4 linked regions of the Daphnia pulex genome follow. The protein of the gene in region 2 binds, or shares a complex with, the protein of the main gene of each other region. Links are inferred from orthologs where the notes say so. Each region holds a gene or a part of one and is shown on either strand. Other genes may lie near its edges.

What was found.
Region 1: mitochondrial import inner membrane translocase subunit Tim21-like (region 2) and mitochondrial import inner membrane translocase subunit Tim23-like share a complex: the UniProt entries of both Homo sapiens proteins name them as parts of the TIM23 complex. The link is inferred for Daphnia pulex from reciprocal best matches to the Homo sapiens genes TIMM21 and TIMM23.
Region 3: mitochondrial import inner membrane translocase subunit Tim21-like (region 2) and surfeit locus protein 1-like share a complex: the UniProt entries of both Homo sapiens proteins name them as parts of the MITRAC (mitochondrial translation regulation assembly intermediate of cytochrome c oxidase complex) complex. The link is inferred for Daphnia pulex from reciprocal best matches to the Homo sapiens genes TIMM21 and SURF1.
Region 4: mitochondrial import inner membrane translocase subunit Tim21-like (region 2) and mitochondrial import inner membrane translocase subunit TIM50-C-like share a complex: the UniProt entries of both Homo sapiens proteins name them as parts of the TIM23 complex. The link is inferred for Daphnia pulex from reciprocal best matches to the Homo sapiens genes TIMM21 and TIMM50.

Annotation. Positions count from the first base shown.
Region 1 is NC_060025.1:1,869,530-1,876,397, forward strand, and holds mitochondrial import inner membrane translocase subunit Tim23-like, read left to right. Parts: upstream 1-3,089; 5' UTR 3,090-3,213; coding exon 3,214-3,247; intron 3,248-3,312; coding exon 3,313-3,562; intron 3,563-3,621; coding exon 3,622-3,898; 3' UTR 3,899-3,984; downstream 3,985-6,868. Other genes in the region: all trans-polyprenyl-diphosphate synthase PDSS2-like, read left to right, coding at 1-21, 86-371, 452-567, 629-740, 808-1,026; phospholipase A2-like, read right to left, coding at 1,374-1,602, 1,671-1,820, 1,889-2,048, 2,126-2,286, 2,349-2,512. UniProt on the Homo sapiens protein: Essential component of the TIM23 complex, a complex that mediates the translocation of transit peptide-containing proteins across the mitochondrial inner membrane.
Region 2 is NC_060020.1:2,278,371-2,286,238, reverse strand, and holds mitochondrial import inner membrane translocase subunit Tim21-like, read left to right. Parts: upstream 1-3,595; 5' UTR 3,596-4,247; coding exon 4,248-4,434; intron 4,435-4,498; coding exon 4,499-4,733; intron 4,734-4,822; coding exon 4,823-4,867; intron 4,868-4,937; coding exon 4,938-5,106; 3' UTR 5,107-5,276; downstream 5,277-7,868. Other genes in the region: uncharacterized protein LOC124192910, read right to left, coding at 1,412-1,622, 1,687-1,838, 1,918-2,040, 2,113-2,292; glutamate receptor ionotropic, delta-1-like, read right to left, coding at 2,403-2,594, 2,669-2,783, 2,859-2,902, 2,975-3,056, 3,127-3,230, 3,323-3,454; uncharacterized protein LOC124192913, read right to left, coding at 5,277-5,366, 5,428-5,606, 5,712-5,831, 5,919-5,979; protein abrupt-like, read left to right, coding at 6,716-6,889, 6,955-7,095, 7,341-7,642, 7,706-7,829. UniProt on the Homo sapiens protein: Participates in the translocation of transit peptide-containing proteins across the mitochondrial inner membrane.
Region 3 is NC_060023.1:11,352,573-11,360,474, forward strand, and holds surfeit locus protein 1-like, read left to right. Parts: upstream 1-2,860; 5' UTR 2,861-3,543; coding exon 3,544-3,585; intron 3,586-3,646; coding exon 3,647-3,736; intron 3,737-3,807; coding exon 3,808-3,932; intron 3,933-3,994; coding exon 3,995-4,180; intron 4,181-4,231; coding exon 4,232-4,405; intron 4,406-4,461; coding exon 4,462-4,675; 3' UTR 4,676-4,739; downstream 4,740-7,902. Other genes in the region: homeobox protein extradenticle-like, read left to right, coding at 5,364-5,534, 5,597-5,738, 5,804-6,054, 6,145-6,335, 6,411-6,546, 6,615-6,714, 6,794-6,945, 7,013-7,072. UniProt on the Homo sapiens protein: Component of the MITRAC (mitochondrial translation regulation assembly intermediate of cytochrome c oxidase complex) complex, that regulates cytochrome c oxidase assembly.
Region 4 is NC_060024.1:13,318,197-13,326,055, reverse strand, and holds mitochondrial import inner membrane translocase subunit TIM50-C-like, read left to right. Parts: upstream 1-3,534; 5' UTR 3,535-3,578; coding exon 3,579-4,172; intron 4,173-4,245; coding exon 4,246-4,365; intron 4,366-4,437; coding exon 4,438-4,545; intron 4,546-4,609; coding exon 4,610-4,865; intron 4,866-4,933; coding exon 4,934-5,037; intron 5,038-5,099; coding exon 5,100-5,192; 3' UTR 5,193-5,247; downstream 5,248-7,859. Other genes in the region: transient receptor potential cation channel trpm-like, read right to left, coding at 1-645, 721-1,651, 1,709-1,972, 2,030-2,509, 2,629-2,635; serine/threonine/tyrosine-interacting protein B-like, read right to left, coding at 5,836-5,978, 6,054-6,106, 6,194-6,382, 6,450-6,547, 6,635-6,793. UniProt on the Homo sapiens protein: Essential component of the TIM23 complex, a complex that mediates the translocation of transit peptide-containing proteins across the mitochondrial inner membrane. Has some phosphatase activity in vitro; however such activity may not be relevant in vivo.

The sequences.
Region 1 (6,868 bases), on a different chromosome or scaffold from region 2:
TCCTCTGCTTGCCACTGCCAAGTAGATTACCTTTCTTGTTATACCGCTGGATTCTTATTAATTATTTTATAAATTTGTCTTGCAGAAATTTAGTGTATTCGCAAGACAAAACAAATCAGACCAGAGGATTATTGGTTTTGCTTGTATCCAAGGCTGCAAAAATTGATCAAACTCAAGACATTCTGCCAAAACAGAGAACACTTGGAGAGATCACAGATTTGGTTCATGCAGCTCACTTGATTCATACAGGAGTCATCAACCTTAACACACCAAATGAGAGTCTAGAAATGGGGAACAAAATGGCAGTGTTATGTGGGGATTTTTTATTGGCCCGTTCTTGTGTACTACTTGCTAATCTACAAAATCTTAAGGTAGACTATAGTATTTCAATCTTGTACTTTGAACTCTATAAAAATTTAAACACTCTTTTAAATTAATATTCCACAAACAGGTTGTAGAGCTAATTGCTCAGGCAATATCAGACTTCAGTACTGCAGAATTCATTGACATAGTGGCAAATGAAACAGACAGTGCTCTCGATAGATGGAGGCATCAATCAAAACTAAGGCATGAATACTTAATGACTAGTTTGACCAGATTATAACTAAAAAGACGCTTTAATTTTTAGGTATGGGACGTTATTAGCCCATGCATGTCAGTCATCTCTAATTCTAGGGGATAACGTAGAACTTGTTGAATTCGGTAAATATTTTGGGCTTGAAATCGCCTTGGCTTGGCAGGTAAAAACTGCTTTATTTCTGTACGATCAGACTTGGTGGTTAAATTTTTTAATGATTTTTTTATTAGGCTAACAATGAAATACAAAGCTACAAGAACGCCAAAGAAAAGGCGGATCATGTCCTGTTCAAACTCTTCCCACCAGGAACTCCTTTCGAAGAAGTGATATCAAATTTTCAAGCTGTGCGCGACACACACGTCGACGCAGCATTACAAATGTTGAGCGAGTTTCCAAAGAATGATGCCAGTCTTGCTCTTTGTAACATCGCAAGAGCGCTCAAGTACTAATTGCATTTTAAATTTAGTAAAAATTATTGATTTTGTATTATCTGTGTTGATTGATGCTGGTGGTTACAACTTATTATTGACAAAGCTTTGTCATTGGCCTTGAAGTGTTGTCCTTACTGACTGTTAAAATCGTTTCTAGATTTTCATTTAGTATCTGTCTAGAAATCCAGAAAGACGAGATGGCGGCTCATGCCATAAAATTTATCAGGTCAAAGGATTAAAAATTCCCTAAAGTAAAAACTAATGAGCCGATCGATAGTTGTATTGCTTTTGTTTTATTCGACAGGGTTTTTCAGGTAGAACATTTTACAGCCAATTCAGTAAAGGCTTTACATTCCGTATGCCCCTCATTTTCCAGACTGCACAGACAAGGTAGATCCAGCCACTTGTTTCACCATTGTTGAAACATCACTCATAGTTGACAGGACGTGCCGGAATATACCGTCAGGTTGGTTTCTACGGACCATTGCCGATTTTTTAAACGGTTGAGGCGGGATAAAACACCATCCATTTTGCAAATTTCTGGTTCTCGATTGATTTTGTCGTTTCTTCCGCCTAGTTAGTTCTATTGGTTCCCTGCGTGATTATTTCAATTTCATTAGGTCTCTCAAAAGTTGTCTTTCGGACAAAATTGCGCATCTTACCTGAATACTTTATTGACGCAGTCAGGTGTCTGGCGATAACAGCTTATAAAACCAACGTCAAAATAGATGAAACCCACTGGAACACTAGCTGGGTCATTCGCCGCATTTAGCAAGCATTGACGAAATCGGTCGTCGCAATCGCAATGGGACCTTTAAAGAAAAGTTTGGATTTTTATTAGAACTACAGTGAACAAAACATTTACTGTAGGAAAACGTACTTAGTGAAGACTGAGGTGTTGCACAAACCATATTTGCAAGTTCCAGGCTTCATAGTGTCTTGACAAAAATCGTGATCTCGACAACACATGTCTGTGGCGGCATGTGGTCCTAGATCTTTAAAATTATTCGCAACGTCTCCTGTTCCACACCATTTGGTGCCTGTTTGGGTATCAAACGAACTGTTATTTGAAATTCAATTGGACTAATAATGTATTTTTTTTTTTCATTTTGTTTACCTGGGTAAATGAAATCTATCTGATTGTTGGCAGTGGTCGGCTTCTGATTGAGAGTGAGCAAACGCTGTTGACAATCAGCGGCAATTGTCAACCATTCTTGTTGATTGATTGTTCGGAGTCTTGGACCGTCCGGTAGATTTTCAATAACCTGTATGGGGTTACTAAAAAAAGAACTTTCCCTTGAGGCGTTGTGAGGGTTGGAATCGTGAAGGTTAACACGTACCTATGGCCGTAGATTCGACAAGGTTCGTTGGGGTCACTGTTCACGAGCACAGCCCTTCTGCCACGCGGATGCCCATCTAGAACAAATAATTCGTTTGATCCTGTGGAATTGGAAACAAGCGCAACAATTGCTTGCAAAAGAGACAAGACTATGATGAGAATCATATTTTAGTTTGTTTTCCTCCTAAATCAATACTGCGTTGTGAGACCACTGAATATTCGGCGACGACTGTTGAACACTTAAAAAATTGGTCTCCGTTGTCAAGTCGTCCAGCTTATTGTAGGGAGCATGGATGACCTGCTTCTGTTCGTGTCGCTTTCTGTGGGTACACTGTCTTGGCTTTATTTCATCCTCTCTTGGGAAACTTTTTTAGTACTACTCTCCCTTTAGTCTACGAAACTTTAGGTTTAAAATGTAGCTACCTGGTTTTTTTTCCGTTCCCTAATAACGAAGAAGGGGGTTTCAAGCAGTTTCAAGTTTAAATCCCAAATATGCGATACTTACATACTTTACTTTCATTTTCTTTTCCCCAAAAATGCTCACAAAGGTTAAAAGTAAAATCTTGAGCTATTGCGTAATTATTGCGCTGTTTTTTCACCTTACGTATGTTTCCGATGATCCAGTAGTAGTTTAATACTAAAGAGTTTATCTGGTTGTTTATCGATCTAATGTTTTTTATATATTTTTTTTTTTTTTTTTTTTTTTTTGGGGGGGGGGGGGAAACGCCGAAACGGTAGTTGTTAAAAAATAATCTGGCAACAGAGAAGTTGATTCTTGCAGACGATCCACGTTTCCCAAACGACAGGTCCGGCCGGTGCTGGTTTCATAATATTTTCTAACCATTTTGAAGTAATTTTTCATAAAAATGGACCCAGGACAGAATGACTTAAACTCATCAGGTAGATTAGAAGTTAAATTTTAGTATTTATCACTTTTGTCATAATTTAAAATATCGAATTTTCAGTGTATTCTAACAGAAACTTGGCCCCCCTTTCACCGTATCTGAACTTCGATCCATCATACTTGCAGAGTAGTCAACCAGAATTCATCTTTCCCGAAGGAGCTAGTCGCCATAGAGGACGTTTTGAATTAGCATTTTCTTCGATAGGTGGGATGTGCATGATCGGTGGAGGTATTGGAGGTGTTACTGGTCTTGTGAGAGGAATCAAAGACACAGCAGTAGCCGGTCACACTGGAAAGCTTCGAAGAACACAGTACTTATTCAATATCTTATCCATGTATTTAACCTATTGATGAAATATTTAAATTTCAGATTGATCAACTATGTTATGAAGCAAGGAGCTGGAACAGCAAATACTCTTGGTGTTGTTGCTGTGATGTACAGTGCTTTTGGAGTTGGCCTTAACTGGATAAGGGATACTGAGGATGAAATCAATACATTAGCTGCTGCCACTGCTACTGGTTTATTATATAAATCAACTTCAGGTCTGAAAAGCTGCATGAAAGGTGGAGCAGGTGGTCTTGCTCTAGCTTTGGCATATTGTGCATTCACCTCAAGAGAAAAACTTACTAGCTGGACTAGCAACTGAATTTTAGGTTGTTTGAATCATACCTATGTCAACGTCACCTAGTGTTTACTGTAAAGTTCTCCAATAAACGTTAGTTTTTTTTGTTATCATCGAGTGACAAATATTTAAGGAAAAATCTATTGGCCCCCGGATTTCGGGGGCCAATAGCCAAAATTGCTATTGGCCCCTGCCGCTAGGGGGACACTGGAAAAGGATCGCGCCTCACAGCAGTCTTTTGTTTTTGAAGTCACTGCCTGTGCCTTGGGTACTACGGGGAAGGGCCGCGCCTAGTACCAGCAGCCGGCCGTGTTGTTGACAAGTGATAGTTCTTCGTCATGTCTTTTTCATTGGAATTTTCATGTCTTTTTTATTGACATTTTTAAATGTAATTCTCTACAGGTAGTGTAAAAAAGACATGCAAGACCTTACTGGAGTAAATACCATTGAAGTGTGCAGTCTTGTCTTGTTAATCCAATTATGCTTACGGTGAAAATGGAAGTCCACCTAAAAATTCATCTCAAATGCCAATTGCTGATGTTTGAGGTATGGTTAGATCCACACTGTTCATTTTTATATAAATTCTGTAATTTATATTTGTCTTTAGGTTGAAAGATAGAAGATCTCACCAAAGCAAGTGATGGAGGAATTATAAATCAAACCTTAAAGTCATTCAAATCCTATAATGAAAAGGTGCTTGTTGCTGAAGGTATGCTTCCTTGACTGAATTATTTAAAGTGAAAATTAAACAATAGTTTACTTTTTCTCCCTTTTAATTGTTCTAGTTTTACTGCTCGGTCGACACGGAGACACGGTATTTGATGATCAACTTGAGTTAAGCTTCAACCTTGGAGAAGATTTAGAACACAACATTCCCAACGGTGTTGAATAGGCTCTGTTGAAATTCAAGAAGCAAGATTGGAGCTTGCTTAAGTTGTCACCTGCATACGGTTTCGGCTCTGCCGGTTACGAGAAACAAGGTGTTTCCCAACGTCAACCTCGAATGTTGAACTCGAGTCAAGAGCTTTGAAAAGGCCAAAGAGAGTTGGAGCATGGACGCCGAAGAAAAAGCTGGAGCAGGCTAAACTCTGCAAAGGAAAAGGAATCAATCATTTTAAAACTACCAAATACGCTCTGGCTAACAAACAGTAGGCCTACTCCAAGATTGTCACCCTCCTCGAGTTTGAAAAAAGTAAGTTTTGCTTTTCGCAACAATTTGATTTCATTTTGTAAAAAAATAAAACTTTTCGTTTTTATTTCAGCTCTTAAAGACGAGAAAGCTACGGAACGAGAACAGCTCATGCTGGCAGCACATCTCAATCAGTCCATGTGCTGTTTAAAGTTAAATGATTTCTGTGCAACTCGTGATCATTGCCACAAGGCGCTCGAGATGGACCCGAAAAATGAAAAGGGTTTATTCCGCATGGCCAGGTATCCGTACCAATTGACCAGCAATTTGTTCTGATTTATTACTCACAGATTTTGTCTCTCCATTTGTAGGCACTTTTGGGCATCCACGAGCTGGAGGACGCCAAGAAACATTTCGAGGCGATTCTCCAACTTGATTGAAACAACAAGGCGGCCGCCAATCAAGTGGTGATCTGCAACGCCAAGATTCGCGAGCAACGCGAAAAGGACAAGAAATTGTACTCTAGCATTTTCAACAAGATGGCCGAAAACGATCATAAGGTAAGCGAAAAGAATGGAGGCCAATGGCTTTACGGTTGGTGGGACGAATCGACGAAGGGTGTCCAGCTGGTTGTTGATCTGGCTCAAATCGAACGAGATAAACAAGAAGCTGTGGAACAGTTGAAGGTCGAACGTAGGAAGAACCAAGCAGATTTCTTCAAGCGTTACGGTGGCAGGAAACCCAACATCGTGTCAGTCAACGGGAAGCCGCTAAATTTGAATGAAGATGATGATGGTGAAGAAGATAATGACGAAAGCTCTCCGGACCACCAAAATGCGGAGTCGACAGAAACACCAACAGAGCCATCAAATGAGCCATCCAACGACCTTCTTAAATGTTTAGGCGACTCTTTTCTGCCGATTTTGATTGTGGAATGAAAACACCCACCCTCCCGTCGAATGCGAATCCATATAACTTTACACGGAACATTTATACTAACAGAATGTCATTTGTCTGCCATTTTTGTGTTAAAGGCCGCAACTAACTGGGTTTCGTTTTATTTATTATATTTGCAGAAAGCCTTGCGGAACAAGGCGATGGAAATGCCGGAACCGACGCAGTGGGACAATGAAGACTCGGAGAACACGACCGCCGTTGAATTGAAAGATCCATTGGACTCTGTGCCATGTACAGAGTCGGAAGACTCCGAAGGGTCGGATGAAAACTAATCTTGATTATCGTCATTGTGATTCTCGACCCATTTTTTTGAAATTTAACTACCGATTGATTGTGTTTTTCTTTCATGCCTGTTCTCTCTGTTGTTATAACACAACAACTTCTAAACCAAAACAGTACTAAGGACATATTCAATTGATTGTGTAATTATCGACTGCCCTCAATCGTAAAACATATCTCATCTTTATCAAATAAAAGTGGTGAATTTGACGGGTAAATTTCATAAATAAGAATGGAGATTCCATCTTAGTTGACGAAACCAAATCGCAAATCCTCCCTTAGTGATAAATAAAATGCTGTCTCGGTTTAAGCTGTTCTACCCATCTTCTTTGAGACCTCTGATATGCAGATGATATCACGCCATATAGGAGACATGAAAATTGAAGTTAACATGGCTATCAGTAGAAAATGATGATATAAATATAACTTATTTAATCCTCTGTTTGATTTTACATATTGTTCCTTTCTAGATAGTTCCCATACTTCCCAATGGCTTATTAATGATTTAAGTTGTGGGTATTTATATGTCAGCGTCATCTGTCAACTTCTAAATACATAATAATCAAACGCATTCTGTCACTTGGTTTATTTATTCTGAATTCACATCCCATAAAAAATTACCAAAAGAA
Region 2 (7,868 bases):
GTTATACCGACATACACATGGCTACCACTTATTAACTGCATTATTGCTGTGTACATTCTATTTTTAAACGGTCCGTTAGTCAGTTTTGTTTTAAGTTTTAATGCCATCCAACTAGATCGACGTTACCCTTATTATATAGCGAACAGCCAGAAAACAGATATTGAACTTTATTTCCTAGATTAGTAGATCACAGACCTTAAATTTCCTCTTTGCTTTCAAGAGGGTCCTGTAGAGTTTTATTTTGGTGGTTTCGGTCTAAAAGTAATTAAATTATCCGGGGATTTCGTGCAAATTTTTACTTTTTATTTGACTGTGGTAGGTAAGGGGGGGGGCTTAGTGTAACTATTTGATACTAAAATAATCCCGATCCGTTCAGCGGATGTCGAGCGCGTGTGACTAAACCACTTGCGCTTTTAGTCTTTTACCGTTTGTCATAGTTTTACATGGAAGGGATCGATATTAAATGGTTTCAATCGATTCCTAAGAAAAGTGTCGTCTGCTTTCGTTATGTTTACAAGTTTCAAAAAGAGAGAGACGAAGTTTGTGTGTTTAAGATTACAAACAAAACGGAATGATAATTTTTCGAAATTCAGCTGAAGGTAAAACACAATTTTAAGTGATTAAATGTATTGTTGAAGTATTTCTGTGTTCACAATCTATATATGGAAAGTAATAATGGAGATATCAGTGATATCAGAAAACATGGTAGGCCTAAATACAAAATTTTCTATTTGCTCTTTGCTTTTAAAGGTTAAAGTTAAAAAAATGTTGAATTTTTAAAACATCACATAGGTTGTTTGTGAGTAAATCAATCCAATGTTGTTCCTGTAAGAAAATCACAGGTGTATGTGAAAAACGATCGTGTTAATATTAGAAAACATGGTAGAGATAATAGACACAATTTCATTATTCCATTAAAGTCTTTTTTAGCTGTTTCGTGCTTATTTCTGTTTCGGTGTTATCATTGGATATCATTGTAGTTTATAGTTAACTTTGCAATAATATTCTTGCTTGTAATTTTAAATATTCTGGTTTTATTGGAGGAACAGCAATGTAATGATTATTTATTGAAAAACCTGTGTTTCAAAATTAAGATTGCTGAATGATTTTCAAATTTAAAAAAAACTTAATTTTCAACACTAAAAGCAAAGTGCAACTGGAAAATTTTATGACCGAGACTTCGAGAGGGACCACTGCAACGTCATCTCCTCGTATAACTTGTAATTGGATAAATTGTGTACACTCCTACTACTATAACATAGCTATAGATTGACTATAATACTTATGCTTTCCTATCTGGCATTAAAATCATACCAGAATGACTATTACAATAACTATTTCTTTCCTCGAATACTCTCATAAGCTCGTTCTCGTAAATTATGGCTCCCGACACCACCATAGTTAACTGACTTCAAAAACGAAAGTAGAAAACTTCCATTAAGAAACTTAACAGTGCCAAGGAAACCCCGATACCAAGAATGAAGAACGCGCTGGTCAAATCAACGAGCTTTATGGGTTTCTGACGGGCTGATTCCTTACTATTCGCCAGGCACTTGTCTACGTATGGTAGATTATTTTTTAGCCAATTAATCATTAAACCAGTCTCCCAAAGAAGCTGAAGCCTAAAAAATTAATTTCGTCCATCATTTAGATCAGTTGTATAAGTGTGCTAATCAATTGTAGTACTTCTCGCTAAATAGTTGATTGAGTTTGTTGCCTTTCTGTAATCCAAGAGTGAAAGCCCCCTCTGATATTGGAATACGACCGGTTACGTGAAATCTACATTTCTTGCTTTGTTTTAGATCGATGTTGATCAAGTAAGCTATGTATGATTCGACCTGTAGAAAGCAAACAATACTAAAGAATATAATTCAAAATAAAAAAAAAATTGTTTCGAATTGAGAAGGAGAAACTTACTGTAGGGAAAACGTACTTCAAAGAAAAGATGTTGGACACGCCCTTTTCTGGTGTGGGGTAAATGCTTTCTGGTTTTCTGCGCATTGCGTCTCCTATGGCTTTCAACGTAGCGGAAGTGGTGTTCTGTAAAGTATAACAAAAATATTCCTTTACTAATTATTCAAATTCTTTTAATAGGTCAATGCTGCCATTTACAAGAACCGTATTAGCCATGACACTGTTGGCGCTGGCTGTCATAGTCAAATCCTGACTGGCCGCTAAATCTTCCAAAGAATTCACGGTAGGCTTGAATTTTGTCAAAGTTAATGAAGACATAAGAGTTCCGGAGTAGCAGTTGACTAGTACCGTGGCCGCCAATAACCACATCCCGGCCATAACACGAAATGAAGTTTGACGGACATTAATGTTCAGTCCTATGTAATAATAGTTAGGTAACCAGGGCAGAGTGTCACATTCTTTCTAGTTTTATCTATTAAGTGCTGTATTCAGCAATGAATACCTTGATTTGTACAGACAGAAGCAATGTACATCGCGTAACTACCGAAGATGGTAAACATGTTCTTCTTTGCACCATAAAATTCATTATTTGGTAAATTAGGCCAATGAGAGTAGCACCAAGACAAATATGAGAAAGCCGCCAGTACAAACACGATACTCAATAGTATGCAACCCCAAACCTGCAATTTTCAAAATCTCAATATTCGATGTGGGAAAAAGAAATAATTTGAAAACAGCTATATAGCTTACTTACCGAATACTGAAAAGGTCTGATCGGACCCCAGAGTCGGCTTTCCTCATCTGGTTTAGGGACCATAAATTTATAGGATTCGATTGCTACCGGATATGAAAATTCCATATACTGAGTTCTACGGAATTAAAAATTTGCAAATTAAGTTAGTTAAATAAATTTCCACTACCGATACTGGTCCGATATAGTTAACCTTTCCAATGTGGGAAGAAAGCAGAGAGTGGAAATATCGACTTCCTAAGTAAATTGAAACATTTACGATTTGCAAAGCATCCACTGTTAAAATATACAGGGATGTGGCTTACTTACTTTATTGATGATTTGATTTAGACCTGCTAGAACGGTTCCCAATTTAGCAATCTCGGTGTTGTTTACCGGGAATAAATCATACCTAGAGCGAGATAGACGGGGAAAGATTTGTTGCCCGCCATTTACAGCGATAGTTTAGAATGATATCTTACGTAAAATTAAATTTTTCTGCCATCCAGTAGATTATATTGGGAGTGCTTCCAACATAACGAAAGGTTCCATTAGCTCCATAAATCAAAAGTTGATAAGGAGGGAACTGCAAATGAGGGATAAAGTTGTGCAATTTAGTTAAAATTTTCCAAACTTCCACATTCAAATTTATGGAAAATTCTTTTATTTGAAACTTACATGATGAGCGGACACTCGAAAGTATGCTCCGCTCAGTCCATTCCGGATAATCGAATTTGAAGATAAAGGATAAAACAACATAAACGTGGTGATAGCAATCTGTAATTGATTTCCTCGCAGAAGTCTAGACATTTTTTAAGTGTAATCGCTGCCGTATCGTTTACAGAATGATGTCTCATTCCTTGGGACTTGCCGATTTATACCAGATTCATTCCCAAAAAGACTGAGAAATGACAAGCAACATCACGCAGAAAAAAGTCGGCTACACGACTAACAGAATAAGTCATGATAGGGAATTTAAAGTTTGTTTGGATATACTATTGGCTTTAAAAAAAGCATTAAATATGTGTTTTGTAAGTATTGACCATCTTTTATTTGGTCCCATGTTCTAAGCAGCTGTAACTTTTCTCTGGAGGTTGAAATCCTGATGACCTTTAAAATAATAGTAAAAGTGTATCAAACGTATTTTTTTTTTCAATTTGTCGCCATGGAAGCTGTATTTTTCCCCCACCGAAACATTCTGTTGTATTTTTCAAATTCTATTTGGTATTTCAGATTCTAAATACTAAATGAAGCAGTTGAACCTGTTGGACGATGCGGAGATGCTTCTCAGCTTCTGTTAGTGTCTCTAGTGCGTGCGTAGCAATTCTTTTGAATAAAATATTAAATATCATCGTGTACTAACATTTTTTGTAGTTTATTTTGTAAAGTTATCATTTTTTAGAAGTTCAGTTTCCTTAGCGACGTTTTGTTTATATACTTTATAAAATTTTGAAGCGGGGGGACTGCGGGATAAACCATCTTTTTTTTACAGCGGCAACGTTGTTTCCATGGCAAAAGGAAAATAAACATCAACACTGTGCCCCTAAGAAATAACTTCAAAGAGCCAATTGTCTTATGAACTGTGCAGTAAAATTTGCAATAAATGTTGTACCAAAATTTCCGTTTATTTTTGCAATCTAGAGTTAGCCCTAGTATTAGGGGACAAACTTACCGTTGCCTCTATGTTCACCAAAACCTTTGCGGAGCTGAGAAAAGAGGAACGACACCGGTTAAGTCTGTGCAGCCAACTTCAAAGAATGATCAAGTCGGCGTTCCTTTAGGAGCCAAAGGTATTTTTATCACTAGTCGAGATCAATAAAATATGGTTGTGTATAACTTTCTACTTTTTTTCAGTTAAAGATGCTGGTAAAACTGTCTGGTACACTGGAATTGTTGTATTAGGCTTCCTTGCAACTGGTGCCCTTCTTTTTGCTGTGTTTAAAGAACTTTTCTGGAGCGAAAGCCCTCAATCAGTATATTCAGATGCTTTAAAAAAATGTACAGAGTATCCCAGAATGAAAGATTTGCTTGGAGAACCAATAACTGGATTCTGTGATGGGTCTGGGCGGAGAGGCCGTACTAATCTCAGGTTAAGTATTATTCAACAACAATACTTATTATAATTCTGAATTTAATTTTAAACTTGTACTTTAATTAATTAAATTCTAACATATTCAGGCATAGCTTGTACATAAAGGATGGTATAGAACACCTACAAATCAGGTACTCACAAAATGTTTTGCTTGCTGATAGAAAAATATTTAATCATCATTTCCATTTCTTTTTTCCTTAGGTTCTATGTCAAAGGGATACGCAACCAAGCCACAGTTCATGCGGTCATGGAAAAAAAAGACGGAAAATTCGAATACAAATACTTGGTGGCAGAGACAGAAAATTATCCCAAAGAAAAGATTTTTTTAATTGATAACAGAAAACATGAATTGAACTTTCAGGAATTTTAAGTAGCTTCAGAGAAAAAATTGGTAATAAATAAATCATTTACTTGTAAATTGTGTGTATTTTTAAAACTCTCATTGGCTGGAATTCTTCAGTCAGAAGATGCGATGGACGGTATGGTTTTACATATTTAAGATGCACTTTCACAAAAAATGTGTCATTGGAAAAACTACCATTATGAGCGTCCTATAAACTTATAGGCAACAATTGCTAATACACCAATAAAAATGAGGTTTAAACTGGAACTCAATGAAGATCCTGTCAACTGTAATAAAAAAGAATTATATGTATAACTGATTACTCATATAAAAAACTTGAAGTTGTACCGTAACAAAGTAGTTGCAACGATCACCCTGACAGCATTCTGAACATCTCCAGTCCAGATACCAAATTCTTTCACAATAAGGAAGTGTTTCATTCCAAGTCTTCTCACAGAAACTCTTTGTAGCACACTGTTTTGAGACATAATACTGTTTGTCAGCATTAATAGTCCAATATGGGTGGCCTAGTGACAAAAATGAGCATATGTTATTGGAGTAAGATAATAAAAATCCCAGTTGTGAATGAAATCCTGTTTCAATCACACATAATCATATGAAGGGTAACTTACTTCCCCATGCAATTGTGGTTAAACAATAGTCTTCCCCAGGTTCACAAGTTCTAATTGTTCTGAGACACTTTTCCGTATTTCCATTTTGTGTGGTGCATACATAACATTCGAGGGAATCACCTAACAAAAATAATTACATAAATTAATTAATCCCCCCAATAGTTGGCATATGTATTTGAAACATGACTTGAGAGGGATACAACTTACCAAAGTGGAGCAATAGAACGAAGTAAAATATAGCCGCTAAAAACTTTGTGCTGAAATCCATCTCCGCTGAATGCGAAGAAGTGTTTATATTTTCTACAGTTTTGGTGGAATTCCGTCAATAAAACGTCTAAAACTTTTGATTAAAAAGAGAAAACAAACGAATAAAGAAGGAAAAAAAACAGTCAGATGCAACGCCCTTGCAGGATGCCAGATTTCAAAATATGGCTGTTCTTTAAATCATTGCTCGTTTTTCGCATCCATAAAATCCAAATCACCGAATTTTGCTAATTAAATTAAGTTTAACATGGGTTACATAAATATAATCCAATCAGTACACGTAATACAATTTCGAATAAGTTTTCGCGTGTGAGTGTGTGACATAATAGAAATTATATGACTAATCGAGTAAACTAAACAGCACACAAACAGAGCTCGAAGCGGCGCAAAAGGGCAAATTTGTGGGGTAGTATACTACGGCAGCACGGGTAGTCGGATACTATGCACCACAGGACCAGCCAGCAGCACCTCAGGGGAAATGGAAATCAATGCCGCGGTGGTCTATGCATTACGCATGGTTTTTCTATGACGCAATGAAAGCAGGCGGGGCATACGCAAGACCTTGAAACGAGATTTGCTTTGGAATATCGGGATTCGGGATTCACTTTTTGGAGAAGTTGATATAGCTGCTGTAATAACAAGCCCATTTTAAGCGTGCGTAGAAGCTAAGAAGTATCATTGACACATGTTGGTTTGGAATAGTTTCCCCGTGTGCTTCGAACTTAATTTCGTAATCAAGAATGACTTCACAACAGTTATTTCGTTTACACTGGAAAAACCACTCGCCAAATTTTGTCAGTGTTTTTTCTCAGTTGTTGAATACAGAATCCCTTGTGGATGTCACACTGGCTTGTGATGGAAAACAAATCCAGGCTCATCGTGTTGTATTGTCAGCTTGCAGCACTTATTTTCAGGTATATTAAGTTTCATGTGTGTGAATACTGCAATTTCTTAACTACATTTTTGCTTATTACTTTAGGAGCTCTTTGTTTCACATCCATGCCAGCATCCAATTGTCTTACTTAAAGACATCAAATTTGAAGACCTTCACACCGTCATTCATTTTATGTATTATGGAGAAGTAAACATACAACACGATCAACTGAATTCAATTCTAAAGGTAAATTCAAACATTTGTTTTGTGAGTGATTAATTCTTTAACAATATAGAGAGAAATTTATATTAATTTCTGGATAAAAAGTTTTTGATGCTGTTAATTGTGATTTTTTAACTTTTGCTTGAAATTTACAGTGAAGAAATCAGGCTAAACAAATACTCTTCGTAATTCTACTAATATGACTAATATGATGTTTGTTTGTTCAAAAATGTTTATTTAACTGTCATATTTCTCACAATTTTTAACAGACTGCAGAGGTTCTACATGTCAAGGGATTCGCTGACGTAGCAGATAAAGAATCGTTTAGTGCGGCACTTCTGACCCAACAAAATCAGCCGCTAGAAAATCTGTCTGAAAGTCGACAGCATTCAGAACATTCACAAGAGTTTCTGGACGATTGTTCCTTGGCTGCCAAACGTAAACGCCAAAGAAATGGATCAGGAAGCAGCCAAATGAAATCTGGGTCTCAAGAGCAACTATCGTCTCATTCACCGCTGTTAAAGAGACAAAACTTTCAGAGTAGCAAGGAAGCTACAGACTCATCTATGAGGTTAATTTACTCCACTTATCAGAATTTGTTGATTATTTCTGACATGTAACTCTTGTATCATAGATCGTCAAGTAGTTTAGATAGCAACTCGGTCATCAAATCACAAAGCAGTCTTGCGGGGCAAAGTTCCGTAGAATCTAATGTTGACAACGAATATTTTTTCCCTAGAGAAAACGATTCTAAACCAGTGAGTTGCTATTTTTTCTAATTTTAACTACTATGAAAG
Region 3 (7,902 bases), on a different chromosome or scaffold from region 2:
TCTGGAAGGAATCTGGAATGGAATGGAATCTGGAATGGAATGGAATCTGGAAGGAATCTGAAATGGAATGGAATCTGGAATGGAATGGAATCTGGAATGGAATGGAATCTGGAATGGAATGGAATGTGGAATGGAATGGAATGTGGAATGGAATGGAATCTGGAATGGAATCTGGAATGGAATGGAATTTGGAATTGAATGGAATCTGGAATGGAATGGAATCTGGAATGGAATGGAATCTGGAAGGAATCTGGAATGGAATGGAATCTGGAATGGAATGGAATCTGGAATGGAATGGAATCTGGAATGGAATGGAATCTGGAATGGAATGGAATCTGGAATGGAATGGAATCTGGAATGGAATCTGGAATGGAATCTGGAATGGAATCTGGAATGGAATCTGGAAGGAATCTGGAATGGAATGGAATCTGGAATGGAATGGAATCTGGAATGGAATGGAATCTGGAATGGAATCTGGAATGGAATCTGGAATGGAATCTGGAATGGAATGGAATCTGGAAAGGAATGGAATCTGGAATGGAATGGAATCTGGCATGGAATGGAATGTGGAATGGAATGGAATGGAATGGAATGTGGAATGGAATGTGGAATGGAATGGAATGGAATGTGGAATGGAATGTTGAATGGAATGGAATGGAATGTGGAATGGAATCTGGAATGGAATGGAATCTGGAATGGAATGGAATCTGGAATGGAATGGAATCTGGAATGGAATGGAATCTGGAATGGAATGGAATCTGGAATGGAATGGAATCTGGAATGGAATGGAATCTGGAATGGAATGGAATCTGGAATGGAATGGAATCTGGAATGGAATGGAATCTGGAATGGAATGGAATCTGGAATGGAATGGAATCTGGAATGGAATGGAATCTGGAATGGAATGGAATCTGGAATGGAATGGAATCTGGAATGGAATGGAATGGAATCTGGAATGGAATGGAATCTGGAATGGAATGGAATCTGGAATGGAATGGAATCTGGAATGGAATGGAATCTGGGATGGAATGGAATCTGGAGTTTGAGGAGGAGGAGGTTGAGGAGGAGGAGAATTAGGAGGAGGAGGTTGAGGTGGAGGAGAATGAGGAGGAGGAGTTTGAGGAGGAGAAGAATGAGGAGGAGGAGATTGAGGAGGAGGAGGAGGAGGAGATTGAGGAGGAGGAGAATGAGGAGGAGGAGGTTGAGGAGGAGGAGAATGAGGAGGAGGAGGTTGAGGAGGAGGAGAATGAGGAGGAGGAGGTTGAGGAGGTTGAGGAGGAGGAGAATTAGGAGGAGGAGGTTGAGGTGGAGGAGAATGAGGAGGAGGAGTTTGAGGAGGAGGAGATTGAGGAGGAGGAGAATGGGGAGGAGGAGGTTGAGGAGGTTGAGGGGGAGGAGAATGAGGAGGAGGAGGTTGAGGAGGTTGAGGAGGTTGAGGAGGAGGAGAATGAGGAGGAGGAGGTTGAGGAGGAAGTGAGGAGGTTGAGGAGGAGGAGAATGAGGAGGAGAAGTTTGAGGAGGAGGAGGTTGAGGAGGAGGAGTTTGAGGAGGAGAAGAATGAGGAGGAGGAGGTTGAGGAGGTTGAGGAGGAGGAGTTAGTAGGAATGGAATCTGGAATGGAATGGAATCTGGAATGGAATGGAATCTGGAATGGAATGGAATCTGGAAGGGAATGGAATCTGGAATGGAATGGAATGGAATGGAATGGAATCTGGAATCTGGAATGGAATCTGGAATGGAATCTGGAATCTGGAATGGAATCTGGAATCTGGAATGGAATGGAATCTGGAATGGAATCTGGAATGGAATCTGGAATGGAATGGAATCTGGAATGGAATGGAATCTGGAATGGAATGGAATCTGGAATGGAATGGAATCTGGAATCTGGAATGGAATCTGGAATGGAATCTGGAATGGAATGGAATCTGGAATGGAATGGAATCTGGAATGGAATGGAATCTGGAATGGAATGGAATCTGGAATGGAACGGAATCTGGAATGGAATGGAATCTGGAATGGAATGGAATCTGGAATGTAATGGAATCTGGAATCTGGAATGGAATCTGGAATCTGGAATGGAATCTGGAATGGAATCTGGAATCTGGAATGGAATGGAATGGAATCTGGAATGGAATGGAATCTGGAATCTGGAATGGAATGGAAGGTAACAATATCCAGAAGTAGAAGTAAAGGTAACAATATTTTGTATTGCACGACAAAGTTTCTTAGAGTAAATAATTACAGAATTAACTTGTAAGTTGTAAGCACAGCATATATAACTTAATTATTTCTTAGTAGTAAACAATTCTGTGTATGTTAAGCAGTAAAACAAACTTTGGGTGAGACAAAAGGAAAATTTATTTATAGTAGGACTACTACACAAACAAATTTTTTATTGTATGGTATGATTATGAACACAGCAAGTAATAGATATGAATATAGATGTCTTGACGTTTCTTCCCGAAATCTGGGGGCCAATAGGCCCGACCTTCTGTTTAGTCTTCGACCCTCGGTTTAGGTTAAGGGGATTTTAGTGTGTAACATTTATAGGGTTCTTTTTCCACGAACGTGCATTATTTTGTGTCCAATGATTATTTTATTTCTAATTTAGATTTATCTGAAGAACTGAATTTCATGAGGCCTTGTGGACAAGAAAAACGGAACTTAGACCTCATCACTCTCCGGCCTCTTTATTCACGTGAAAATCCCAGTGAAGAATGGACGGTAAAGTCACGAGTTTGCCAAGCTTTCAACGCGCTTCAACCACATTCAAAACCGAAGAAAAAACAAATGGCAATCTGAACTGGTTGTTCAGACATATAACAGCCGATCAAAGGATTCATCCCATCGAAAACGATCAGCAGAATCGGTGAGCGATGTGTCAGAGGAGAAAAGACCTCCGTGTCGAGGAAGGCGCACTAATCCTAAATGCGACTTCCAAGTAATAATCGAAGAAAATCCTATGACTATCGATGACAACTGACAATTCCCAATTTCTACTCAACAGTCGACCAGCGAGGAGAAATAGGTAATGTCGTTGACAAAACCTAGACGACGCCCTGGTCAACCACGGCACCACGAAAGGTGAAGAAAACTTCCGGGTAAAATCGGTAAAATACTTAAATTCTTTCGGGTTGCTATTTTTTTCACAAGCAAAGACGATGTGTTATTGTGAGTGTTGACAGTTGACTTGTTTGAATTCTAAATTCAGAGACCAAAGTGTGATGCTGCTTAAGCACGGACTCTGTATTTAAAATTGAACAAAACCTTATTGAAAAGGCTATTTTTAGATTTAATATAATGTAGCTTTTTTTAGACTTTTGTAGGTCATACGCTATTTTGATCTCTTTTTTTAAATGAAAAAAAAATCGCAAATATCCCTTCGGGTACCTTGCTAACGCAGGTAGCTGACAATTCACCATAGGTTTATCTGAAAATGCGCTAGGTGTCTCTGATCGTTCAAGTGTTATTCAAAAACTCTTCTGCACTTTTTTTGTGAAGACCTTTTCTTTTCCTAAAGAGATTAAATTGAAATTGATTACAATGCTCAGTTTAAGGCATTTTCAGAAAATTAGAAGAATTAAGGTAATTTGGTTTATAGCTTCAAAACTGTGTTTTTCAACATTCATTTTCTGCTACTATTCAGACATGTACACAAAATTACGTAAGACGATCAGCCTCAAGCTATGGGCAAAGAAATGCTGTAGATATCGGAATTCACGGTTATTCGTTATTGGTAAGATAATCGATTTTAAAAATAAAACGTACATATAGTTCTTTAACAAAAAATTGATCCAATAAATGTAGGCTATTCCAGCCATCACTTTCGGCCTTGGGACCTGGCAGATTTTCAGACGTCAGTGGAAACTTGGTGTTATTGATCATCTTGCCAGCAGAACGTCTGCACCACCAATTCCATTTCAGTCTACAGAGTGAGACTGATACAATTCTTTAACTCTACCCTTTTATGCATATTTACACCAATGCTCTACAGTATTGAAGGGCTATCTGACATGGAATACCGGAAGTTTGAACTCCATGGAAAATTTGAACATGACAAAGAGATTTACATTGGGCCAAGATCACTGGTTGGAAATGAAAAAAATGAAGGTGGTGGGATGTTGTCTTCAGGGCAGAGTGGCTATTTAGTCATCACTCCATTTAAACTATCAGATTCCAAGTAAGACATTCAAACAGTTAATTTTCTCAATTTTCTACAAGTTACTTTTAGTCTCACAGTTCTTGTAAACCGCGGATGGATTCCTCGTAAAAAAATGAATCCATTCACCAGACTAAATGGACAAAGAGAAGGCGAAACAAAACTGATTGGAGTGTACCGCTCTAATGAAAATCGCCCCCAGTTTGTACCCCAAAATCAGCCCAAAGACCGCATGTTTCATTTCAGGTAAAGACAATTATATTTTTCGCAAAGTTAGATAACTTCATATATATTGCGTACAGAGATGTGGAGGGAATGGCTCGGCTTCTAGACACTGCGCCAATTTTCTTTGACGCGGACGCTGATAGCACAGTACCGGATGGACCTGTAGGTGGACAAACAGTTGTTACTGTTAGAAATGAACACGTTTCGTACATTTTAACGTGGTATTCATTATCAATTATCACAGCATTTTTGTGGCATCGACGATTTATCAAGAAAATGCCTCTTATGTAACTTAAATGTATTTATCTTCATAGAGGTTAAAGTCAAATTAATACATTTTAACATCAAACATCATTATATTTTTACTCTTGTTGCGTTTTCATTTGTAAAAATAAAATTTTAATTAATAAAATTCAAAATAAAAAATAAATACAGTATCGCGAGTTTCTAGTACATCGATTATTGGCTTACCCGATATAATTATCGATACTTACCTTTGTGATCGCGTTCTCGCGTCTTTTTTGCTTTGTCCCGTCGATAATCTCGGCGATCTCTGGTAATTATTTTATGAGCCTTTGAGAAATGTGATTCAGTCTGTTTGAATACTAAACAACTCGTGAATTCCCGGTTTCAAATTGTGTGTCAAGTCAGTAAAGAAAGTTTTTATTCTAATTGAAAGAAATACGCTACGCAAGCAAACTTCTCTTCCATGGCGGACGCTTGTCGCCTTGGGCATTTTATAAGACGTTGGCATTTTTATATTAACCGAAGCCAATTTTTGTTATTTACGATTGCTTTCTTGCAATACTAGTGCTTTGTTGTGTCTAGTACATTTCATTTTATGTTTACATTTCATGAAATCACATGTATGGATGTTAGTAAACGGAAAGTCATTGTTTACAGGGTCTTTATTGCCAGGTCCTGTAGCCTGAAGGCAATACGTTTTGTGCAGTGACATTGGAAGATTTCATTGCTTTTGATGGATGATCCAAATCGACTTATGCATCCTGTTCCAGGTGGCCAGGTTGGACTAATGCATCAGCCACCGTATGGGTTACCTCCTGTCAATGTCGGAGTCAATGTTGGGGTTAACATGGCTTCACTTGATGGAGGGAACCAAGACTCTGAAAATATGACTGGACGAAAGCAGGTGTGTACAATTCCATTTCCAAAATCTTTTTTTCCTTTTAAGTAAAACTTCTTTTTTTTTAGGATATTGGAGAAATTCTGCAACAGATCATGAACATCACAGACCAGAGTCTTGATGAAGCCCAAGCACGCAAGCATACCCTGAACTGTCATCGCATGAAACCTGCTTTGTTTTCTGTCTTGTGTGAAATCAAAGAGAAAACTGGTAACCCTATTTCAATATGAATCCAAGTGATTGAATGGTAACATTAAATTGTGCTCTCACTTTAGTTTTGTCGCTACGCAACACGCAAGAAGAGGAGCCTCCAGATCCGCAACTCATGCGGTTGGATAACATGTTGATTGCTGAAGGAGTAGCTGGTCCTGAAAAAGGAGGTGGGGCCGGTGCTGCTGCCAATGCATCAGCTGCAGCGTCTCAAAGCGGCTCAATGTCGGACTCGGCTATTGAACACTCTGATTATAGGGCTAAGTTGGCACAAATTCGTCAAATTTACCATCAAGAGCTTGAGAAATATGAGCAGGTACACATTTTTAGCAATGCTTATTTTTTTATTGGACCTCTATGACAAGAAAATGGAGAATAACCATTTCATTTTTACATCCGCTTTCAGGCTTGCAGTGAATTCACCACCCATGTTATGAATTTGCTCCGAGAACAATCCCGTACTCGTCCGATTACACCCAAGGAGATTGAGCGGATGGTTCAGATCATTCATCGCAAGTTTAGCTCCATCCAAATGCAGCTGAAGCAAAGCACTTGCGAGGCCGTTATGATTTTACGATCTCGTTTCCTCGACGCCAGGTAAATTTTGCTATTTTTTTAAGGTTTGACCACGCCCATTAAAGGTGTTGTTCTATCGATGTCTTCATCATGTAGGAGGAAGCGGCGTAACTTCAGCAAACAAGCTTCTGAGATCTTGAATGAGTACTTCTACTCGCACCTAAGCAACCCCTACCCAAGTGAAGAAGCCAAAGAAGAGCTCGCTCGTAAATGTGGGATCACCGTTTCACAGGTTAATTTCTTTTTAAATCCTTTTAAGAGGAATAAGCGCATTAATGTTTTGTTATTTTTACAAAAAAGGTTTCGAATTGGTTCGGTAACAAACGAATTCGTTACAAGAAAAACATTGGAAAAGCCCAAGAGGAGGCCAACCTGTATGCTGCTAAAAAGGCCGCGGGTAGTTGTTTCCACTCTGAGGATTTTCAAATCCTCGTATTACCGGAGCGATTCTAATTTTCGTACTTTTTCTTTCTCGTTAGGTTCCTCGCCATACAGTATGGCTGGAACTCCCGGACCGATGATGTCGCCTCAACCTGGTGGTCCTGAACTCAGGGGTCCACAAGATTCCTTAGGCCCGTACGGTGCTATGGGACTCAACGGTGGTGACTTTCCTTCCTCCATGGGCGGCCAAGTAAACTACTTTTAATGACTTAACTAGTGGTATCTCAGCATATTAATTAATGTAAACGTGTTTGTAGGGCTATGGCGATTCATCGATGGGTTATGATCCAAGTATGCATCAAGTGAATTCACCCTGAGGGGTGGACGAGTGCCCCTTCTCCTCCTCCACCCTATTTCTCGGCAAATCAACTCTTAATTTACTAACTTCATCAGATCTTGATCATACTGTGCGTTACAAGCTATCTTCAGCTGTTCGATTAACTCGTTCTAACCCATCTCGTACTCCTTCTTTTGTCCCTTCCTCTCAGTGCAGCTTTGTTGTTTCGTCTTGATAGAAAATGTTTCTGTGGATCACCTCGATCGGTGCTTGTTTTTTCTCATTTGTTTCAGAAACCTCTGTAGTTTTAATCGCTTTTGCGTATAGTTGAAACCGTCGATGTAGTCGTTATCGTTTTTATTTGACAACTAGAAGTGAACCGAACATCTCCGATTACAATCACGTACGCTCTCCCGTCACCGAAAAAACGATCATCAGTATTCTCGAAAATCCACATCCCACGGACCCGAGTCCTATTTCTAAAAAAACAAAAAAAACACAAGAATTCCCATCAAGTTTGCGTTTTAACTGAAAAAAAATACTTTTCTTTTGATATGGTGGTGGAACCGAATGCAATTTTTGGTATTAGAATATTTTGCAGTTCCTCCTCTGTCCTATAAAAAAAATGACTGGCGCTTTGAAGTGAAGCTCAAAATATTTCTTTCTCGTTGGTACGTTTTTATATTATTTTCCACTAATCCGTGTCTCCTTTTTAAACACTATATTCATCTGTTCACCGCGCAAATCCTTGCCATGAAATCATGTACAACCAATACATCCATTTCTAGGTGTCAACGTTCTTATTTTTTTCTCATTATTTTTTGAATGTTTTCAAATTTCAACCATCCCGAGGGTTGATGATGCAGTTCG
Region 4 (7,859 bases), on a different chromosome or scaffold from region 2:
TGGTGATTCATTTCAGAAGGATCGCCTTCGTCTTTCAAGTCGATCATGTGCTCCTCTTCAGTTTGCGGCATCAGTTGGAGCTCTTCTTTCGATTTGAATTCCAATTGAAGGATCAGTGGTGGACAGATGATGGCCAGAACAATTTTCAAGTTGGTTGAGCGACGAGTCCGCAATCCGCCCAGCCACAAATCACCCAGAATCAACTGAGAACCTGGATGGGCCAGCAATTCTCGGTGATTACACGCAAACGCCAACCTCAGGCAAGTTTGCCGGGACCAGTTGGACAATTCGCAGGTCAGCAATTGCATGGCGAGGTCGTCATCTTGACGGTAACAATAGTCGAGCAACTCGAGAGCCTCGCGATCAAATTCGGCCGCATAACTGCGCAACTCGTCGCTAATTTCCACTTCTAAATCGTCATCAGCTGCTTCAATCGCCATGGCTTGGTAGAGTTTGCTGGCCACCAGAGCTTTAGCCAACGATTCTTCTCCATGGTGCCACATCAACTTGGCCATATCTTGGCGTTTGGTCAACACGGACCAAACCAAAAGTTCGTTGAATGGCTGAGTAAACATATTGTGTGATGGCTCAACATGATATTGAAGGTCTTCAATGAGGCTCAGGTGGCCGGATTCAATATACTGACTGGATAACAAAGAACAGCGTTTTATGATTAGTGAAGATATCGATAATCATAGACTTGACATTATCAATCCTTACCTTAATCCATGGTTTAGAACATTGCGACTCGGAGTTTCTTTAGTGAAATTTTTCATCATGTCGGTGTAGCTGTGACGGAATTTCCGTCGGGTGTAGGAGCAACGATAAGCACCGCCCATCAGCTTGTTGACGACCAAGCCGATATCGATAAGACTGTAAGAATAGTTGCGAGGCAAATGTGGACGGACGTCACGAACGATGTACCTCAGCGTATTGGCTGGACCTTGTTTGGAATTATAAAGTTCTTCCAATCGATGGATGGTTAAGAATTTGGCCATTTGCACACCCATTTCCAGCAGCAACTTTACAAAGTCCACGCGATTTCTCGCCAAGGCTTCCATCATGGCTTCTTCCAGGGCTCCATCGGCCCACTCTTGGCCGTAAATGAAGATCTCGGAACGGGCAATGTCGACTCGATTCCAAGCCAAAGCCAAACTAAGTTGTTCGGCAGCTGTCAAGTAACGGGCACGGAAAAGTGCACAAAGAATGGCACGATCCAGCTGATTCAGTGACTTTGATTCCGAGGTCTCTGACGGTTTGAAAATGGTGATGAGATCCACATTTTCGACGCACTGTAGAAGTTCGGCAAGCAATTTATTCGTCTGAGACTGACTGATATTGAATGTTTTCTGGATTTCAGCCAGCAGTTGTTCTCGTATTCCGTCCAAAGCAGTCGATGATTCCTCCATCTCTTTGGCGTATTTGTGCGCAAAGGAAATCAGATTAGCTGCCCGGCCTGAGCCTTCCACCACAACTACTGGAACAGGTGGCGAATCCGTTACGTATTCCAGCACGGTCCTGATAGTGTCCATTCCGCCCTCAACGACCAAACAGACAACAGGAATAGAACAATTAGTTCGAGCCGGAAGCCGTTGGCTGGATATGTATTTCTCCAGTTTCCTCCGCAGGGCGATCTCCGCTCCATAACGACCTGGAGAAAACAGTTGAATATGACCAATCCACGGATAAATGAACAATTAAAACTGACCCACAGTTCCGTTGTCAGCCAGTAGAAAATACGAGTGTCGATTGTTGAGAGCAGCGAATTTGGAACGCGGATGATCGATCGATTGATAGGCGACATCCTTCTTCCGGCCGATCAGTGAAGCTCGATTTTCCACCACACCCCAGGGAGCGACGCCGATACTGACGACACGGCCACTTCGTAATCGAGGAGAACGTTCTGATATCAAAGCATCGCCGACATGATGAGTCACTCCCGTACTGGTCCCACCCGTCAAGATCCATGCACCTGTCGGAAGTGGAAATGAGGTGAAAGCTTCGTTAGTCATCTAATGTTAATTAGTACCCGTAGTTTTAGCTGCTCGAAGGAGTCCCTCTTTGAAGACGAGCTTGAGTCGTGGATTAAGTTTAAAATTAACTTTGCCACCGTGTACGGAGATGACAAGTTTAGGTAATTCAAGTCCCCATTCACGGGTCAGCAGTTGAAAAATATGGTCGGTGCCTGAATCAAAGCCCAGCCGGATGAATTGAGCTTTATTGGGATGTGGGCCGCCCAAGAAATCGATGGTGCCATAAGAGTCGGTTGGGCTGCTGACAGTATGATGGGCAGGGGACCAAACTTCTTCCGACACGCCAACATTTTTGATTCCGTGAGTCTTGTGATACGTCCACGTTCGGCCGCAAGTACACAGTGGGCCTTTGTCGGAGCTGCAAACGTATCTGGAGCATTCTCGCTTGCAAAATGTTGATTCTATCCAGCCTGGATGACCCGGAGGAATCGCAAAAACGACGCCACTTGCAGACGTTACAGCCAGTTGATTTTCCTCTATATGGGTAAAAGAAATAAAAATGGTTTACTTATTTAACAAAGTTTTAGCATTAAATTAGAGAATTTCATGTGTAAAAATTAAATACAAAAAAAGCGGCATTTTGAAAACAACTTACCAATCATGGCCGAACGTGTTTGGACTCAGTCATGAGAAACTATAGACTACCTTAGAATCTTAAATTCAAGTGCACCCGTTTCACCAGCATTGAACTAGTTTTAAGGTACGTACACAACAAACTGACATGCAGTGATAAGTAGTTTTGACGAAGGTCGAACCTTAAAAACAATCACACAAGATGAAGCAATAACATCGTATGTAGCAATATTTGGACTTCAGATTAGAAGTCTTGGATTAACTCATACTTGGCTTTTCACAAAAGGATCGGTCGACGTTACCGTCTGGGAAAAGTCAAGGAACGGTATGAAATTTCACTACAAGTCTGGAAAGAATGAGCTTCACTGAGATGAGAGAGCAATTATTAAAGAGGACTTTACACGATAGCGGCAATAAAGAGGTTGTTGATCCTCGATAAGTTGTATGTTATCAACAAATTAATCCTGCATTTGCGCATTCTTTGCATTCATATCACATGTAACCGATTGCATCGCGGTGATATCAAGTAGCATTAGAGACCCCGACACACTCACTAATAAAACGTTATTGAAAATGTCGAAAACGAAACTACAAGGTTAACTTTAACTATACCAAGATAATTCAGTCAAGTATGAAATCCGAATGTAAATAAAACCGATAAAATGTTACCTTCTACAGCTGAACACTTTTAACATTTTCCATTTGAGACGAAGAAGTATCGCGGCGGCAATAATGCAAGGCCATTCAAAAATAAGGCATGAAAATATGAATGCAAAATCTCTTGTTCTCAGCATCCTGCACTCACAATCGTAATCGCAATATACCGCGTTTAGATTTTACAGACCCATAGGAATTAGGAAATAGATTTTGGATTTTTGAATTTTTTTACCCGACGGTTGGAATAAAGAAGCAATCTGACAACTACACAAATGTTGCAGAAGATTCTTGAGAAAATTAAAAATATCAAGAAAAATGGCTGCCTCCAGATATGTCACGAGTTTCGTAAAGTTATCTCAAATAAGTGGTACAAAATTGACTTGTGGAAATTTTCACAGACTAGTGACAATTCCCCAAAATGTGCTGTGTCAACCAAAGCAAATAAGTAACATTCTCTTAGCTACCAGGCACTTACAGTTTAGGTGTTACAGCCAAAAGTCCGACAGCAGCAACGAGACACAGACGACGACGGCGAACAAACCGGCTGCAGCTAGTCCAATATTAGGTTCATTTCAAGGTATGGGAATTGCAGGAGAGGTTTTAAAGTCCCAAAATGAAACCGAAGGAAAGCTGAAGTCTTCTCCACCTGGCCAACAACAACAAAACAACAGTGAAGAAGATGAAGAAGCCAAAAAGAAAAAGGAAGCAGAGGCTAGTTGGAGAACTATGAAATACACACTTATTTTCTTTGGAGTAACACTAAGCGGCCTAAGTGGTTACATTGTTGGCACATGGGGAGCACCAGAGAGAGATGAAGAGGGCAATGTGATAGAAGACCAATTCAGCTCAAAACCTCTGGCACTACAATATATCCTTAGGTCATGGAATGCCATAATGAACTATAGTCAAGTAAGCATCTCTGACTGTCAGATTTTTAAAACATTTCAATTAATTTTAATATTGTTTTTGGCTTTCTTTTCAGATGATTAGAGACCCTTCAAGAGATAAACTTTTACCTGATCCTCTGAAAGAGCCATATTATCAGCCTCCTTACACATTAATCTTGGAAATGACTGGTGTTCTAGTCCACCCAGATTGGACAGTAATTAATCAGTTGAACTGTATGCATTTCAAATGAAACATCATAATCATTTGCTCTCTCTCTTAATTTCAGTATCAAACTGGTTGGAGGTTTAAGAAGAGGCCAGGAATAGATTTTTTTTTGGCACAAGTGGGTCCACCCGCATTTGAAGTGGTTGTCTACACGGCTGAACAAGCCTTTGTAAGTACCATTTTTAAATTTCACGTTCTCGGTACAAAATAATTAAATTTCTTTACCTCTTTAGACGGCCTTTCCCATATTAGACGCCTTGGATCCCAACGGTTACATCATGTACCGACTCTTCCGCGACGCTACTCGGTATGTTGATGGTCATCACGTGAAAGATCTTGACTGCATCAATCGCGATCCATCAAAAGTGATTGTCCTCGATTGGAACACCCAGTCAGTCAAATCGCATCCTCGTAATGCACTTAGAATTAAAGAATGGAAGGGTAACGATGATGACAGGACCCTTGTCGACTTGGCTCTACTATTGAAAAGTAAATGTCCTTCTAAGAAATAGTATGAAAAAAATACTAATGAAGTAACGCATTTTACTGGTGAATAGCAATTGCTACGTCAGAAGTCCAAGATGTGCGAGAAGTGCTGGATTTCTACAACCAATTCGACGATCCTATCGAAGCATTTCGGGAAAATCAACGGAAACTTCAAGTAAGTGTAAATCCATCATCCAATTCTTAAATTTGTTTTTACCCAATTTTGTTGCTGTGCAGGAACAACAGGAACTGATGGAACGAATGAATCAAGAGAAACAAATTCTACCAGCTACATCTGTTGCCCGTGGTCTATTTGGTCGGCGATTTTGATTCAGCAAGTCTCGTTTCTAGTATATTAATTCGAATAAATCACCGATCGAAAGTTTCTGAAAGAAAAAAAAATACTCTTATCATTGGGTCGAGGCACAGCCAAGAACGGGAAAACATTTTGTCCCATATTTTATACAGGATGTCAACCGTCCATATAAAGCGTCGTCGATACCTACTGTCTCGGTCGTTTTCAAGTTCTTTACTCTTTTGAGCAATTGTTACACTTCAGTTTGCGCGGTAGATGGGTTCACATTCCTTCAAGTGTTGAATAGAATCTGTAAATATTCCAGTGAACTCAATCGCAATAGTTTAAACAAATACTTTACCTTCGTTGGACTAAATAAAATGCTTCGACGGTAATTTACACTTAGATTAGTTGTTGCAATACAATTGAAGATAGAAACTTAAATACCGTATCGTATGGGAGTATTTAGGTAAAATATTAGGTGCTGGATTGATATTCCTAGACTGCATTGAATTATTAGTCGTCAAATAAATGGATTAAAGCTTTGGACCGGTAATCGACTTAAAAAGATTGCAAACCATTTGAAAATCACTTGTTTTATTCCTTCAAGGAACAGTCAAGAAAAAATTGTGCAGCATACGCAAAACGTTTTTATTGATTCTCATGTCGGATAACGCGTCACTCGTCCATAGCATCGTCATTTTCGATACTGTCTCGCTTCCGTTTCCAAGTGCTTTGCTCCCTTGAGCACTGACCATTGTTTGTTACACTCCAGTTTGCTTTGTAGATAGGTTCATATTCCTTTAACTGTTGAACAAATCCTATTAAGAGAGTTTGAGCTATGTGAGACTATTATTCTAATGAACTGAGATGCAACAATTTAAAAAAATACCTACCTTCATTGGGATTAATGCAAAACCTTCTCTGTTGCACTAAACTGAAAGCCTCTCTGTAAATAAATAAAAAAATTAGATCAGAGCTTGAAAAGAATGTCATGCTTTACTGCTTATATATGAATGAATGTTGAGAAATATACCTGTAGTCAAGGCAGTATTTTTGCATAAGAAAGCCCAGAACAATGGCAGCACTTCGAGATATGCCAGCATTACCGTGAATAAGAGCTTTGCCTCCTGCAGAAAAACAGCTATCCAAGAAAGTTTTAACTTTTTGGAAGTGCTGAATGATATTTTCTGTGACTGAATCTTTCACGTTGACAACCAGGTATCTGAGGAAAAAGTGCAATACAAATAAGTCCATACAATTTGTTCCTTGTTTGGAATAATTTAATTTACTGGAATTTATCAACAAAATGTGTTTTGATCATGTGAGATTCAATGTCTTGTCTAACACAAACGATATGAGTGATTCCGTGAGTCTCAAGATAGTTCTCCTGGGGTTTAAAAAAATAAGAAGGTAATGTTGTTATACTTATTACATTGGCTAATGCAAGAATAAAAGATCTATGCAAACCATATACTTTGGATCGAACTGCAACCGAGTAGGGCCCAAGGAACAATCCTTTGACAATTTCTTGCATTTCCCTTCTCATCGAATATGTCCAATCGTTAGGTTCTTGGAAATCAGCCGTTATCGACGAGGCCGAAAGTATGTCGTGACTATTTGTCTGAACTTCCATTGAGGCGACTATTAAGACTATTAAGAATAAAAAGAAAAACTGTAAACACTAAGCCTGCGTTTTGAAACGAAAACTTTTTGTTTTTTTTTCACTCTGCTGTCTGATAATCGATGTTTAAGAGAATCGATTTTTCCAAGCAGACTAGAAATTTTCTTTTTGGCGGTTCGAGAGTCGAGTTCAACCTTTTATTGGCGGTTCAAGTTCAATACGTTGTTTCTTGTTTATAAATAGACGTCTGGCATGTGTCAGACAGCTTCCCTTTAAAGACGGGAAGATTTTGTCACTCGTCTCAGACCCGTTTCTTTGCTTGAGCCGTTTCGACACGATTACTCAGTTCTCTAAATTGTAAGTATTTTTTTCGATTGTTCCGAGGCAAACCAATTTCTTTATAACGAAAAAGTAAAGTTATTTTGCTTGTTAGATTGCCAGTTGCCCAGTTCGTAACAATAACAAGAATGTCGAATGGAAAGTCTTTAAAAATTACGGCTGAGGACAAAGACGGAGTTCGCACAAGATCTACTGTTATTCGATCGGAAAATTTCGGTCACGGATCAAAAGTTTCCATATCCAGTGAAGAGAAAAGACAGATGGGAGCAGGCAGAGGCAGTGATGTTAGTCATGTCTTTGCTAACATGCTTGGAGGATCGGGAAAAGACAAAGATAATCTTTTCCTATCATCCCCAAATTTCAACAGAGGTGCTTACAAAGAAAATGAATTTGAAACCAGGAAATTCATTAGAACTACCGAAAAGTATCACCCAGGAAAACAAGTAGAAGCTCACACAAAGGTCACCATACACCCCAGCAGCAATTCGGGAGCCGATCCTCGCATGAAGTATGATGTCACCTCGCACATTGACGGCAAAGAAGGGCCAAGTTACACTACGTTTTTTAATTTTTTTGGCAAGAAATGAGGTCAACTGCGATGGGGATTTTCAATCGAAGATCATATATATTCAATTATTCAAATAAAAAGTTCGCTACTTTAAATTTTTTAAAGTTATCTTACACCGCTTTTTGATCAAAATTTTTTCTAATACAATTCTTTTCACTGCTTTAGTCATTT